3 linked regions of the Saccharomyces cerevisiae S288C genome follow. The protein of the gene in region 1 purifies or fractionates together with the protein of each later gene. This does not show direct contact. Each region holds a gene or a part of one and is shown on either strand. Other genes may lie near its edges.

Region 1 (7,571 bases):
CTTGAAGAGTTGGTAATTAGATTTGACAGCTCCTCTATTTCTGCAGTTGGAAAGTATACTTCAGCAACACTTACTAAGTAGTTGAGTGAGTCATCCTGTAATGGCACTATTTGTAGTACCGTAATGTTTGTGAATACGTTCTTAAAAGGTGTGTTCAGAGCTTCAGGCAAGTATCCGAAGATTTGAGCCGATGATTTTGGTTCTGATACAACAAATTCGTAGTTCAAAGCTTTTTTGAACCCTATTGTGATTAGGGTGTAGCCCTCAGGCTCGGGAACTTGTGTCGCGGCTGCAATTGCATGGGGCAAAGTCATAGTTTGTGTTCCTCCAACGGTAGAAGATGCAGTGGATGCAGCTTCTGGTGCCTGCGTGATTAACTCAGTTGGAATCCACCAATTGTTGTCACTTGAAGTGACCAGACTAAACGTACTGGAACTGTTAGTCGTTGATGGTTCTAAAACGGTCGTCGATTCCGTTGTTAAACTCGTCTGTACATTAGTATTTGTAGCAACCTGACTTAAAGAGGATGTTGATGGTGTAAGCAACAGAGAGGATGCCTTTGAAGATGGGGTTGGCGTAGACGTTGCCACTTCCAATGGAGCGGAAGCAGAACTGCTGTTTGCGTCGGTAAAAGATAGAGTTGTGGATTGAGTAGCCGCGGTTGTCTGGATGCTATGGTATTCGGAAGCTGTTGCATTGATTGAGCTAGTAATCTCAGAAGCTTGTTGGCTAACAGAACTACTTTCAGAAAGCGCTCCATGAGTGGAAATGGTGAAACGTTGGGAGGATGTAGTGGTGGGCTGTAGTGAGCTAGATGTTTGAGAAACGGACGACCTTGAACTTGTAGAAGGCACCGGAGTGTCTGAGACTTGAGAAACGGACGATCTGGAACTTGTAGAAGGTACTGACGTGTCTGAAACTTGAGAAACGGACGAACTTGAAGTTGTATAAGAAACCGGTGTGTCTGAAACTTGAGAAACAGATGAACTTGAAGTTGTATAAGAAACTGGTGTGTCTGAAACTTGAGAAACAGACGAACTTGAAGTTGTATAAGAAACCGGTGTGTCTGAAACTTGAGAAACAGACGAACTTGAAGTTGTATAAGAAACTGGTGTGTCTGAAACTTGAGAAACAGACGAACTTGAAGTTGTATAAGACACCGATGTGTCTGAAACCTGAGAAAGTATACCAGTGGATGATATAGTGTACTGAGATGATGAGCTTGCAGAATTCATTTGAGTTGTCGTCTGAGAGGGTGAGAATTCGCTGGAAATCGAAGAAGGCATTTGAACTAAAACAGAGCTGGTAGAAAAACCTTGACTAGATGTTTCACTTCCTTCTGTTGTTGAAGACGATGCGAATGAGGAAGTTTGCAATGCAGTTGTGCTTTGTGAATAACTTACCTGGGAAGTTTCCGCAGATGTAGATGATATGAGGGATGAGGCCTCTGTAGATGCACCACCTGCAGTGGTATAGGGTGAAGTTGTAGAAACAGAACTGCTAGCTAGCACAGCTGAAGTGCTTGTAGCTTGAGACTCCGAAAGCAAACTTGAAGTGGATGGAGGCTGTGATTGCAAATTTCCTGCCATATAAGTAGACGAGGAGCCCGACAGTGTTGCAGAAGCTGTAGATGCAGCGGATTCCTCAGAACTGCCAGTACTACTTGAATATACTATAGTTGATGAAGAGGGATTGGTCATGCTAGAGCCACCTGCTTGCAGTGAAGTATAAGAAAAGGATGAACTAACTACACTTGGAGCACTGGTGCTAGCAACATCTGAGGAACTTTGTGATGGAACAAAAGATACCGAAGGGCTAACAACGCTAAAACTGCTGGAAGTACTTGCTTGTTCTGAGGCTGACAACAGCGGTATGCTTGCTGTACTGGAGACGCCATAATCTGTAAGGTCTGAACTCGACGCAGAGGAGCTAGCTAAACTTGAGCTATCCAAAGTAGTAGACTGTAGCGAAGTAGTTGATAATAATGAACTCATTGTGCTCGAGGCACTGGCACCATATACCTCTGTTGAACTTTGAAATGCGAGGGCAGATGCGGATTGCGCTACCGAAACTACGCTCCCTGAGGTACTAGTTTGCGGTGGAATATCAGAAAAGGATGAACTAACTACATTTGCAGTACTGGAGCTAGCAACGTCTGAGGAACTCTGTGATGGAACAAAAGATACCGATGGGCTAACAATGCTGAAACTGTTGGAAGTACTTGTTTGTAAAAAAGGAGCCGATAATAATGCGCTCACTGTTGATGAAACATCGGAACCATCAACTTCTGTAGATGTTAACGAAAAGGTTTCTGACATAGTTGGATTATCTGTGCTGCTTGAGCTAGCTATTTGTCCTGCGGCGCTCATGCTCACTACAGGTGAGGCGCTTGAGCCATCAACGTCTGTTGAACTTACTGGTAGAGCTGCTGATGCAGTGGTAAAACTGCTTGATTCACTTGTTTGCAGTGGGGCAGCTGATAGCGATATATCGGTAGTAGTTGGAGAACTAGGGCTACTGAAATCCGCCGAACTTTGTACTAAAATTTCACTAGAACTACTAAAATCTGCTGAACTTTGCACCGGAATGGCACCAGCAGTCGAAGTTTGGTCAAAACTTTCTGAACTATCGGTGGTTGTTAGGGAGGCAGAAATAGGGTTTGCTGACGAAAATACGTTATCAGCTGCGGACATCGTACTAGTGGAAATAAGTGGAGTGTCCGAAGTGAGAGGTGCACTCGTTGTAGTCTCTATGTTACTTGTAGTTGTGAAAGGGATAGAATTAGCACTCGTATCAATGGGAACACTGGCAGTGGAGACATCAGAAGCTGCATTTACACTAGAAGCAGCAAAATCGGCCGATGTACTGAAGGTTGGCGCATAGTAGCTTGTCGTACTGGTAGATGGCAGTTGATTAGTAGACGCGCTCCAAGAGTTTTGATTAACGGCATAGTCGGATTCTTGACTGGCATATGACACAGAAGTCTGGGAAGTGGAGCTCGCATCATACCAAGTAGATGGGAGGGAAGAGATTGTGGCACTCACTATTGTTGCAGACTGGTGCGAATGAACACCTTGAGAATAGGCTGTTACCAAAGAGGTGGTGGAACTATCCTGAGAAGCTTCATTGGTGAAAGAAACTTGACCTTGACTCTCGCTTTGGCTCTGAGCTTGTTGCGTTCCATTGCCGAATATAAAGTCGAAGGGGCTGGCCCGGGCCAATGACCCACTAATTACAAGGGTCGATAGGAGACAAGCGAATGGAAACTGCATAGATGGGTATAATTAGGAAGCCTAATGAAAAGTCAATAAAAATAGGAAACGAGGTGGAAGCCAGCTAGAGATGAACAGAATACACAATAAGTCGTTAAAGGAATGAATAATATTTTCACAAATATTTTGGTCGGTTGGAACGAGCCGAAGTCAGATGCTTTTAGTTCTTCTAAGAGAGAGCTTATTACTTCTGGAAAAAAAGAAAAAAATGGTAAAAAACAGGTAAGATTATTTTAGCAATATTATGGGGTCCCTTGGTGAGGTCGAATAGTTTTGGTAATCTATTATAAATGTAAAAATGCAGGAAATAAAGAACTTGGTACTATGGAAATGTATAAAAGTTATATATATCAGCACGAAGATGAGATAGTAAAAAAACACCCACTGGTGCTATTTTGATCTGGCAACGCCCGACGTGTCTAGCCACTTGCTGCAAAACGCCCCGAAACGGTAATTTGTTTTCGTGTCTTCGCCTGTTTCAGAGCGAGCCTTTCCCTTTTGGGACGCGCGCCAAGGCCCTTCTGTTTCAGGTCCCCAAGCGAAATTCTTTACGACTCCACAGTCTATCAGCTATCGTTTCCCCGTCCTCGTCGAAAGTCTCCCTTAGCTCATTTAAAAGGGCCTGTTTGCTCTGGTTCACGCGGATGTTCTCAAGAATGTATTCCACCAGCTCGTCCTCGTAGACGCCGAGGAATTCACGCACCAGTTCGTCCACGTAGCGCGATTCCTTCAGATTAGTTAGTCTTATGTTCAGTTCATCTGCTGTAAATGGCAAACGGTCCTCTGCCGCGCTTCTCTCGGAGGGTTTTGTTGGAGGTAGCTCGCTCTCTCTGTATCCCTCGTCTTCGCTAGAGCTTTCAACTGAGTGATCAATAGCCTTCTTAAAGTCGAATTTGATCTTGACGTGTTCTGAGCTCTCAGACACATTCTTGTCCGCGTTATAGTTCTCGCTCTTCACAGTGCCTTCAGGAAGGGTGATGGCGGCAGCCTTCCCTGCAGATATGGCCTTACCATCCGATAGTTGTATAGGCGCCAGTTCCTTTGCATTTCCATTTTTAGCTCTATCCTCTTCGTCCCTTCTTTCCTCTTGCTCCTTGAAAGATCTATGGTGGTCGTAATGAACGTCGTTGGCAAGGTGTAATAGCTCCTTCAAATATAATGAGCGATTTTTCTCCAAATGTTCCTCATAGTTTTCAGCACTCATGATATCAGCCCTAATGGATTTTATCTTAGGCTCTGTATTGGAATGTAATTGGTGTAACATATCCTCATATCTACGATTTGATTCTTCCAGGTCTCTTTCTTCTTTTCTCTTCTCTAAGGCAAGGTCGTCTTCAGTGTCATCCTCCTCATCTTCATCTTCCATATTAGTATCCTCCTCCTCTGTATTGGCGCTCCCTTTGGCTCCTGAGTGGTTTTTCCTTATTTGATCAAAAACTTTTTGCATTTGGTGTCTTTGACGCCTACTTTCCTCGTACGTACTTTTCATTTTTTTTTCTTTCTCTATACTGACAACTTTTGTCCTAAATTCTATTATATCCTTGCACAATTGGTCCAAAGCATCCGATGGCAAATCACTTAAAGTGTTTGTATCCACTTTGTATTGTGTGGAAGAGTCATCCAACTGTTCTTTCTTTGAATTTCTTTCGTCTGTTTGATCTTCAATGTTTTTGAAAACAGAATAAAATTCGCTAGCCTTTTCTGGCTTAACACTCGGTATAGTTCCTGTTCGGTCTTCGACATATTCTTTTGTGTTCAAATCCAAGTGTAACTCAATCTTGAAATCCTCATGTAGCTTTCTAATAAACGCGAATAAGGCTTTGCAGTAGTTCAGCGTATTAACAAATGCCTCATCTTCATCAACCTTACTGAATCTTATAAAAATGTCCTGGGTATCTAAAAACGAAGAAAAAGAAGACCAAGCTTCTACTTTCAATGCGGAATTGCTTTGAGTTTCAGTCAACGCTAAATTCAAACAGTGGTCTAGCAATGATTCTATCTGTCCGCGAGAAAATGATGAAGAGACACCTTGTAAAGATACTGTATGAATCTGTTGGTCTAAGGAAATGGGAAGAAATTGTTTGAGCTCTTGGTAACGGGAAGAGCTTGTGGCGCACTTGTTAGCACTATTGTTATCTGCTATTGAAGCCTCTTTGTCTTTATTCAAACCAGTATTCTGGTCAGAATTGTGTATACTCCCATCATCGTTGCTATTTAGCAGTGTCTCTGATAAGCTGTTTCTGGCGTCAACTATATGTTTTAATGAGTCCTGAAAACGTTGTAGATCATTTTTGAGGATAGGGATGAACCCACTTTTGGCAGAATCACTTTTCCAACCCTCCTGTGATGACAAATACAGCTGCGGTGATACAAATACAATATCCCTCATGTTCTGTAAATCGACGTACTCTTAAGGAACTTTTATGAGCTTGATTTTGGTCCTGGTCTGTTTTTGTTCTTGATCTATCTAATTACTTTTGCACTTTTTAGCGGGCATCATTACCACGGAAAGTAGCAAAAAATGTAGCAGCGAAAACTGCTTTTTTATATTTGTTCCTACAATTTAATAGAAGATAACTCAGTACTGATTTATACATCTATGTTAGATATTTATTACTTCTTCTAATGACACGTCGTGATCGATTTCTTTAGCTTCTTTCCAGAATTTACTTAGGTGTCTTGAACCGCTGTCGCATGCAATAATCACAATGTTTGAGCCGTGAGGAAGCGTTTTTGCAACCTGAATAGCGGCTACCGCATTAATAGCTGTACTACTCCCCACGAATAGCCCGTCGTTTACCGATAGGTATTTTGCCATTCTAATGGCTTGATTATCGTTGACTCGTATTGATTCATCAATAAACTTTTCGCCCATATGAAAATTATGAGTGATTCTGTTTAACCCAATCCCTTCTACGATAGTGTCAACTTGATGCCTTCTTCTAGTACCTTCCTTCTCTACATAGTCATACATCACGCCATAGTTGACTCTATTATAAAAGCCAGATCCTTGTGGATCCGCTAGAACGACATGGCAAGGTATCTTTGCTCTTTCCTTTAAGAATTTTGCCACACCAGTTATGGTGCCACCAGTACCGCAGCCAGCAATGAATGCGTCAATATTTCCCTTAGTTTGATGGGCAATTTCTGGGCCTGTGGTCTGGTAATGTACTTTCCAGTTGGCTTCGTTTTCGAACTGATCGGCAAAAACTGCTCTTATTCCATTACCACTCTTCTTTAGTTCATTACATGCCTTTTTGGCGGCATTTACGTATTGGTTTGGATCGACAATACTAGCGGGCTTAACCTTATTAACAGTAGCACCGAGGCTTTCTAGTAATGCCAATTTTTCTAGCGATGTGTCATCGGGCAAAGAAATGTGTGCCCTATAACCCAACGCATTACAGACCACTGCTATAGAGATACCAGTCGACCCACTTGTTCCTTCAAATACCCAGCCAGGTTCACCTCTGACGAGCTCGCCTAATTCCTCAGCCGTCTTTATGATGTTTAAAGCCACTCTATCCTTAGCACTTCCTGCTGGGTTGCATAACTCCAACTTAGCGTAAATGTTAACTCCAGTAGCCTTGGTAAGAGATCTGATCTTAACCAGAGGAGTGTTTCCTATGAGTTCTTCAACGCCTTCTTTTGGACGTGGAATATCGCGTGTTTTGAACAGCTTATAGTATTTGTATGATGCATACGCGCCAATTAGGACGGAAGCGATGGATATGCATTCACGCCAGGCCAGACTGACAGAAGTCTTATTTTGAGAACAGGACATAAAGGATGTTTTGGTATATTCCGATTGATAGGGCTATTATGCAGTATTATACGGCATTGTTACTTCAAATATTACAAGACTTTTAAGTTACTATAGACGTGCAAAATTCAATATAGATCATTACCCGCATTAATAGTAACGCGAGTAGATCAAGTATCTTCGGATTCTGTATTTTATAAGCTAATTTTGCTGATTTACGTATACGATTCACTGGAATGTTTGTCTGAAAGGTTTTCCTTATGAAACTTACCGCTGGTGTGGTTATATTATAATTATTAAGTGTTAAAATAAATGTTTGACATTGTTCACATGATTGTTGCTCTGCTGTAAACATTTTAAATCGTGCATCCAGGAACTTTTTTTCTATGCACCTTGAAGAGGAAAGTGGTAAATTTGAACTGCTGCAGTATCAGAGTTGTAATAAACTCACTCTTTGCTATCCAAGACCTGCTTGACCGGTTCACTTTGATTAATGTATAGATTATACTCTTGGATGTAACGGATGACAGAGTTTG
Region 2 (4,402 bases), on another chromosome or scaffold:
GCTTTTGGTGGATTTACCACTAGCCGATGTACTAAAGGAAAATTTATCATCCCCATCATCCAGATTCGAAGAAAATTCTTTTAGATGATCTGATTGTACTAAATTTCCGTTACTTGCTTTATTTACTTCTTCATTATCCACAATAAGTGGTTTTACGTAGCTTAAGGAACTCTCCGCGCTGACATTTCTCAAAATGGGAGCTTCCATGACATCTACTGGCAACTTATCTTGCGATGCTTTAGTATCTGAGTTTTCAGACGTGTCTAGGGATAGTGAGCTACCGGAACTTACCTTGTGTTCATTAATGTAATTTTCAATATCATCTACCAACTTTTCTGCTTCTGAACGCTGCCGCCTATGTTGATTGTGGGTGGATGAGATTGCAATACTATCCCGCTCAGAATCATTATTACTCTCTATTTCTTCCTTAGTAGTATTGTTGCTTATTGACGTTGTTATTGACTTCATGTCCATAGGCGGTGGTGGAGGCCTCGAACGTTTTATCTTGGAGAAATGTGCATTTGAATTTGCGCTTGTTGTGAAGGGGTTGGTTCTCTGCCCAATGATGTTGTTTTCTTGTAAATATTCAATTCCTTTGTGATCGTTTCCTGACGCTTCCTTGGACTGTGTTAATTCAAGAGAATCTCCTAAGGTATCCTCAGCATTCAAAAATGGATTAGTATTCTTTAATGTTTCCTTTTGTAATGGTGCCTGGATAGAATGGCTCCTGCTATGAGCATTCCTATTTGGACTTCTTGGCGGTATATCAGGGGCAGAAGTTTCAGCCGTCGAAGTTCGTGCGATATTTGTTGATTTCTTTATTGTAGAGGGCACCGATGGCTTTCTAACGGATTTTTCAGAGTCATTGTTTTTACTTTCAGAACCAAACCGAAAAAAAGACCTTCGTTTACCTTTATTGTTGCTAAAGCCATCAAACATCACTGTATTATTAGACTTTACCTGTAGACTCCTTCAAAACCTGTAATTCGCTTTGCAGAACATGCTATTTCAACATTTTCCCTCTTAAACTTTTGCCAAATAATAATAGTGCGCTCTTTGAATCCGCGATGACATTTGAAAGAAAACATTAAATTAAACTATCGCTTTGCATACGGAGCAAATGCCATGAAAGAGAAAAAATAACCAAAAGGTTTTTTAAATATATCTATACACCTCCACTGTTATATGCGACTCAATGTTCTAATATATTCAATATCAGCTCTAATGCTTTGACTATATATTCACCGACTCCACCAATACTAATAACGCGGATGGTACTTGGGTGAGGCGCCTGAGCAAAAATAGTGTAATTTGTTGTATTTAAAGATTCAAGCCACATTTGTGACTCGTGAAGATTATTCAGATTCAATACGACGATATTACAATTTGTCTTTGATCGTAGATCATTTAGATTTTGATAAACAATATCAATATAATTTTGTCTTGGACACCTAACGTATGTCTTTAGAATCTGATACGAAGACTTCTTTTTCACTGCATCCATAGAAGCTTTTATGGTACCAATGCAATGTTGTTTGATTTCATCCTGCGTCATAAAACCCGGTTTATTACCTTCACTATACCTTCCGTCCTCAAAAGTTTTTGGCCCGGAATGACGATTGGAAGAATTCAATACATTTGATGGCTTATTAACAGCGTGTCTCTGTGGTTGTGTTTGATATGAAGTTGCACCTGCTTCAATAGTTTGAGAAGAGGAAATTGAATTTGAAGAGGGCGAATTCGATAAAGGTCTTTGTTGTCGTGGAAATTGATCTCCTTGAAGGCCACTTATTTCGTTATATGCCTTCATTTCAGAAATATGTTTAATCATTTGAGCTTTTGATGTTTCTATAATTGGCCTGGTTTTACTAATGTACGACTTTATATCAAACAAGCCATCGCCAATTAATGGAAGTTCGTAGAGGGCAAGTGATATCTGTGAATAAGTGCGGTTATATTCACGCTTAAAGTAGTTTATCACGTTAGCTTCACACTTGCCAAATTCTACTTGTGAAAAAAAATTAGAAAGCTCATTCATGAACTTACTTACATGACAAGCCTTAACTTGAAACTGTTGAAAATCTGGAACAACATTGAAACCAACTTCTACAATACTGGATGAGGGCTGCTCTCTTCTATAGCTTGTTATTATATGGCCTCTACCAGTTTCTATATTCTTGGGCAAATAAAACGAACCTGTCAAGTTAATATTCTTAGGAACTCTAAAGTATGATTTTTCGGATGGTGCCATCCATAATCGCTTCTGGAAAGCAAGCAGAACTGATAATACGAAGCAAGAGTCCAATATATTGAAGTCCTTCAAAACTATGTAGAAAAGCATGCCTTCATCTTTCTGCTCTTTCTGTGGATAACATCGTAATATATCCTTCGATATATACTTATGCAATTCATCCATGCACTCGTCGAACTGTTGTTTATCTTCCGTTCTCATGGGGAGTATGAGCAGACTACCTTTTATGAATTGCCCTGCATTCTTCTTAGTCGACCTTATCCTATCTAGGTTTTTCCATATATCAAAAGATTGGAATGCTTCAGAATTACCGACCTTCCTTCTTTGGCCATCATTGGATGTCGTAGGATAATGTCCTTGTGAAAGTTGTCCCTTCGGCTTGGTATGATGATACGCTAATCCTCTCCTTCTTGGGCGCATGATACTAATATTTTTTGCTTATATTAGTCGAAGGGAAACTGTTTCTCAACGTCAAACTTCTACTATAGTATATAATATAACTTTAATGTTTTCTACACTGCGATGCGCGCTGAAAATTCTAGCTCAAATAAAAAAAAGGTTACAACAAACCAGTAGCAATCATGAGAATAAGAAATATGAAGAAGTAATTAAAGATCATGTTGGAGTAAAAATCCAAAATATCATCTGTTTATTAGCATTCGTGTTAGTAGTATATTATCAAATGCGGTGTAAGAAGATGACATAAAGATTGAAAGACAGTCATCAAATGGAAGAGGAAATGCAACAACTCATGATGTAATAGGATAATGTCACATAAAAAATGGAAGATGAGATTATAATATTATTACGTAAGAATACCGATCCTCTTTTGCGGGTTCTTATATCTCGGGGAGAGCTTCTAGTACATTATTCATTCATAATATTATACCTTTACCAAGGATTGAATCCCAACAATCATCAAATTATTCACCCCTTTCTCAGGTCACTGGTTTGAAGCAAGTAAACTACATCTTCTTATACCGTATGCGATAATATACTAATAATATAAATACTACTAAATAGATGATGCTAGAATTCCATTAGAACTATAGTATACCATTTAAGTATTTATATTGCTATTGTAATATCTTATGAAAAGTTAATGTTCATCTGTCCCAACAATCTCTAACAAGTACAAAGATGACACGAGTTATGAGGCGCTGTCATAGGAACCTCCAAACAAGTTTGATATTAATTATAAGAAACATATTTCAAGCCCTCGTGTTGTATTACGGGCTCGAGTAATACCGGAGTGTTTTGACAATCCTAATATAAACAGTCTTAGGGAAGTAACCAGTTGTCAAAACAGTTTATCAGATTAATTCACGGAATGTTACTTATCTTATATATTATATAAAATATGAATCATACTAAGTGGTGGAAGCGCGGAATCTCGGATCTAAACTAATTGTTCAGGCATTTATACTTTTGGGTAGTTCAGCTAGGGAAGGACGGGTTTTGTCTCATGTTGTTCGTTTTGTTATAAGGTTGTTTCATATGTGTTTTATGAACGTTTAGGATGACGTATTGTCATACTGACGTATCTCATTTTGAGATACAACACCTCGCAAGAAATCGACTCTCGGTAGCCAAGTTGGTTTAAGGCGCAAGACTGTAATTTATCACTACGAAATCTTGAGATCGGGCGTTCGACTCGCCCCCGGGAGATTTTTTTATGTCAAGCACCTACTTTTAGCCGGCTTTCTGGAGATAAGTTCCCAGTAGTCGTTGTATTTGATTCTCTATTGGATAGTCAATGACACATTCGTGACCGAACAATGAGATATTATTGAGTACCGGGAGTATTATGTGTCATAATTTGTAGTATTATCTGTGTGACGGATTAAGTTTGCTATCTCAAATGCCGCGCGCGCGAATTGCTCATGATATAATAATAGCTAATAATATGATAATATGATAATAATAGATAAGATTACTGATAACATTATTTTAGTATTCAAAAGCGTATTACATATATATAGTCGAGTAAATACTTTTTTTTCAATGGGGAGTGGAAGGGACAGCCGCTCTGACCTGTTATTAACGACAGACAACACGGTACCAAAGTTATACAATGACTGTGCACTCAACGTGGAAGGAAAAAGTTCAATTAAAAAAAGATCAACTGAACAGTAAGATAAAAGACGAATG
Region 3 (3,590 bases), on another chromosome or scaffold:
ACAATAGAACACCGCGCGCTTTCTTTTGGGGCTGTCTGGAGAAACCAGTGAAAAGTGCGCACGCGTATTGCGGCTTAAAAAGATACCCGTCCATTCAAGAATGGCCGATTTAACAGAAAAGAGTAAAGAGATGAGTTTTGCGAGATCAGAAACAAAAACAAAAAGGAAAAAAAAAGGAAATTTTTTTGGGAGAAGGAAAAAAGGGTTAAGTCTGTAGAGAAACTCCGTAGTTCCCTTCTGTATTACTAATTGGTTACCAAGTAATAAATACCTGAGAGTAGTAATATATAAAAGAGAAATCGTATAAGGACCGTGTTAAATTTATATATATTAAGGAAGTCTTTCGGTTGGTAGTGTGAGATAACTAATTCTTTTTGGAGAGCCTTCTTCTTTGCTCTATCGTGGTAATAATCTACATATTCTCACAATCGCACACGTACGCTTTCTCTCTCACAAGTAACAAATTATTCTTTTTGCATTATAGACTACGTACGATAAAAATATAAAAACAGAAAATGGTCGAAGGTGATTTTGTCGATGAGCAATCGAACATTGCCTTACTAAGCTCCAAATCCATGTGTGGTGATCATCATAGCGTCAAGAATAGCATAGGGGATGAGATCTTTAAATTATTGACAAAGATTTTAAATTCGGATGAGAAAGCAAGCGGAGATGTGCACACACTCGTTTCTGGGACCCCGGATCTCTCAAATTTTAACCTCGATAATGAACCACTGGAAAACATACTCGCTGTTTTCATAATATCTTTTATTATTGTAGTGGTTGGAGTTTTACTACTTGGGTTGATTGGCATGATATTCATATCTCTCCGTTCAGGCAGCAGTAATGATAAGAAACTACAGTCCAACGATGAAGAAAAGCAAGCACTTGCTGAAAAAGCATGAAATAAAAATAGATATAATAGATGGCACCGCTCTTCACGCCCGAAAGTTGGACATTTTAAATTTTAATTCTCATGATAGTAACGATCGTGCACATTCAATTAATTATCGCATACCAAACATTTTTTTTCCTTTTTCAATTCAACTAATCTCAATTTTTTAATTTTCCTTTTTTTATTTCCTTTTTTTTTATTCTCATCATACCATTTTCATTCGTTGTTGATATCTCTATTGTTTTTTTTGGCAAAATATAGTCTACATATAATATTTAATAATCTAATCTGATAGCGTTAATTTCCATACCGCCTCCTTTTATATCCGTTGGCACTCGACGGTTTCCGTATGCCGTCGGAATGCATCCGCTTCTTGGACTCCTTGATCGTGGTTTGCAGTATATCTACACTGTAAAATATAGAAGTTTTTGGAATGGTGTTACTCCATTGTGATAATATCTTTGGGGGTTCTAGCTTCTTTGGGTTATTCAACCTAGGAAATGGATTGCTCTCGCACGTCTCATCTCTGGATCTTGAAGTTTGCTTGAAGGAATGGTGTGCAGATTTTTCATTGGCTCTTTGGGGTAATTTGCTGGCTTTAACCAAATCTCCTATATCAAACCTGTTAGCATCCACAAATACTTTGGAATATCCTGGTGAGCCATCGTATAACAATTTCAAGGTATCTATTGAGGTTTGTGCCAGTTCTTTTTGGTTCATTTTCTTCACATGCATGATGTGTCTTTTCTCCTTATTTGAAAGGCATGTAACTTTTAGCGTCTCATTTTGACTACTGTTTTCTCTTTCTTTCCTGCCTCTTTTTCCAATGTGGCGTCTTTTATGATTATGTTTATTAATAATGTCTCTTGCTTTGTTCCTATAATAGTCAGCTGTTATACGAAGGTGATTCTTACCGACCAAGTGCGATTTACGAACGCTCAACGTGTCATGGGTCAAATACGAATGACAGTATTCACAATAGTATCTCGTCATTGCCTATCTCTTTCCTCTCCGTTACTTGAGCACCTTCATCGCCTACACTAGGAGCTCATATTATATCTTCAGTATAGCAAGAATATTTTCTGTTATCCTTAACGCTTACCCGCCTATGTACCTTGACACTTGCGGAAATCTAGTGTTCAATGATAAGGTACTGTGTGGAACATATGAAAGTGAAAAGAGTTTGAACCGTTTATTATCTCTATACAAGTGTCTCTATTCACATATAAAAGAGTGAAAATAAAAATAACTTTTAAGATTTTATTACCTACATGAGATTAGAAAAATCATAACTATATTACTCAGCGGCTGTGCCTGTTGTTGATCAAAAGAAAAGATCCGCCCCTTCGAACGTCTTAGTGCCGCCTTTTGCCCGCTTATCAATTTTCTCTGAGGGAACATAACGGCATTTATCTATTCGACTTCCAAATCTACATACACGTATATAGATACATATATATATGTGTGTGTGCGCCTGTGTGTACTAGCACTTCTCAATATTATAATTCTTCCGTAAAGTTCGATCGTGACTTCCTGTTGCACAGTTATCTTAAATAATAGAATAAAAAGCTAACGCAGATTCAAGTGGGGCGTTGTCAGGCACACAAAAAGACAAGACAAAAAGTAGCGTACTAGACTTACAGTTATGCTGTTGTGTAATAGAAAAGTCCCCAAGACTTTAAATACCTGTTTTATACTGCATATATTCACTCTGTTAACACTGGGTGTGTTAGTGTCCGGAATGCCGTCAAAAATGGTATCATTCGCCTCTCAGGAGACTTTGCAGAGAATAAATAATCTCCTTCGAGGGTCTGCCAATCGAGATGTTGACATTATTGCAGAATATTTGAAAAAAGACGACGATGATGATGGCGGCGATAAGGATCACCATAACATCGATATTGACCCTTTACCTCGCCGTCCTAGTTTAACGCCTGATAGGCAACTTCTAAAAGTCGGTTTGCATGGTGCTATAAGTTCAGATTTAGAAGTCTGTAGTAATTTGACTATAAATGAGGTACTCCTGAAATTTCCCGGTTCTAACGCTGCAGACGCTGCAGTAACACAAGCTCTTTGTAAGGGTATGGTGAATTTTTTTAATAGTGGGATTGGAGGTGGTGGCTACGTAGTTTTTTCTGGCAAAGACGATGAAGATCATCTATCCATTGATTTTAGAGAAAAAGCACCCATGGATTCACATAAGTTCATGTTCGAAAACTGCTCTCTATGCTCAAAAATAGGGGGTCTTGCTGTCGGTGTTCCAGGTGAATTGATGGGTCTCTATCGCCTCTTTAAAGAAAGAGGTAGCGGCCAAGTTGATTGGCGTGATCTAATTGAACCAGTCGCAAAGCTGGGAAGCGTGGGTTGGCAAATAGGCGAAGCACTCGGTGCCACTTTAGAACTTTATGAGGATGTTTTCCTGACATTGAAGGAAGATTGGTCGTTTGTATTGAATTCTACCCATGACGGTGTTTTGAAAGAAGGCGATTGGATCAAGAGGCCGGCACTATCTAACATGCTAATGGAACTGGCTAAAAATGGTTCCGTGGCCCCATTTTATGACCCCGATCACTGGATTGCAAAATCCATGATTGATACTGTCGCAAAATACAATGGAATAATGAACTTGCAGGATGTTTCATCGTATGATGTTCATGTTACTAAACCACTGTCCATGAAAATTAGGAAGGGCGCC

The links. The genes of interacting proteins can lie anywhere in the genome.
Region 2: the proteins of SNU71 (region 1) and SNU56 purify together in Saccharomyces cerevisiae (affinity purification with mass spectrometry; 8 studies listed by BioGRID). This does not show direct contact.
Region 3: the proteins of SNU71 (region 1) and YHC1 purify together in Saccharomyces cerevisiae (affinity purification with mass spectrometry; 7 studies listed by BioGRID). This does not show direct contact.

What each region holds. Positions count from the first base shown.
Region 1 is NC_001139.9:512,644-520,214, reverse strand, and holds SNU71 (Snu71p), read right to left. Parts: upstream 5,662-7,571; coding exon 3,799-5,661; downstream 1-3,798. Other genes in the region: MSB2 (Msb2p), read right to left, coding at 1-3,272; MCY1 (putative cysteine synthase), read right to left, coding at 5,875-7,056; nicotinamide-nucleotide adenylyltransferase NMA2, read right to left, coding at 7,483-7,571. UniProt on the Saccharomyces cerevisiae protein: Component of the U1 snRNP particle, which recognizes and binds the 5'-splice site of pre-mRNA. Together with other non-snRNP factors, U1 snRNP forms the spliceosomal commitment complex, that targets pre-mRNA to the splicing pathway.
Region 2 is NC_001136.10:942,482-946,883, forward strand, and holds SNU56 (Snu56p), read right to left. Parts: upstream 2,672-4,402; coding exon 1,193-2,671; downstream 1-1,192. Other genes in the region: YDR239C (uncharacterized protein), read right to left, coding at 1-939; AMD2 (putative amidase), read left to right, coding at 4,326-4,402. UniProt on the Saccharomyces cerevisiae protein: Component of the U1 snRNP particle, which recognizes and binds the 5'-splice site of pre-mRNA. Together with other non-snRNP factors, U1 snRNP forms the spliceosomal commitment complex, that targets pre-mRNA to the splicing pathway.
Region 3 is NC_001144.5:723,529-727,118, forward strand, and holds YHC1 (Yhc1p), read right to left. Parts: upstream 1,889-3,590; coding exon 1,193-1,888; downstream 1-1,192. Other genes in the region: YLR297W (uncharacterized protein), read left to right, coding at 516-905; ECM38 (gamma-glutamyltransferase), read left to right, coding at 2,541-3,590. UniProt on the Saccharomyces cerevisiae protein: Component of the spliceosomal U1 snRNP, which is essential for recognition of the pre-mRNA 5' splice-site and the subsequent assembly of the spliceosome.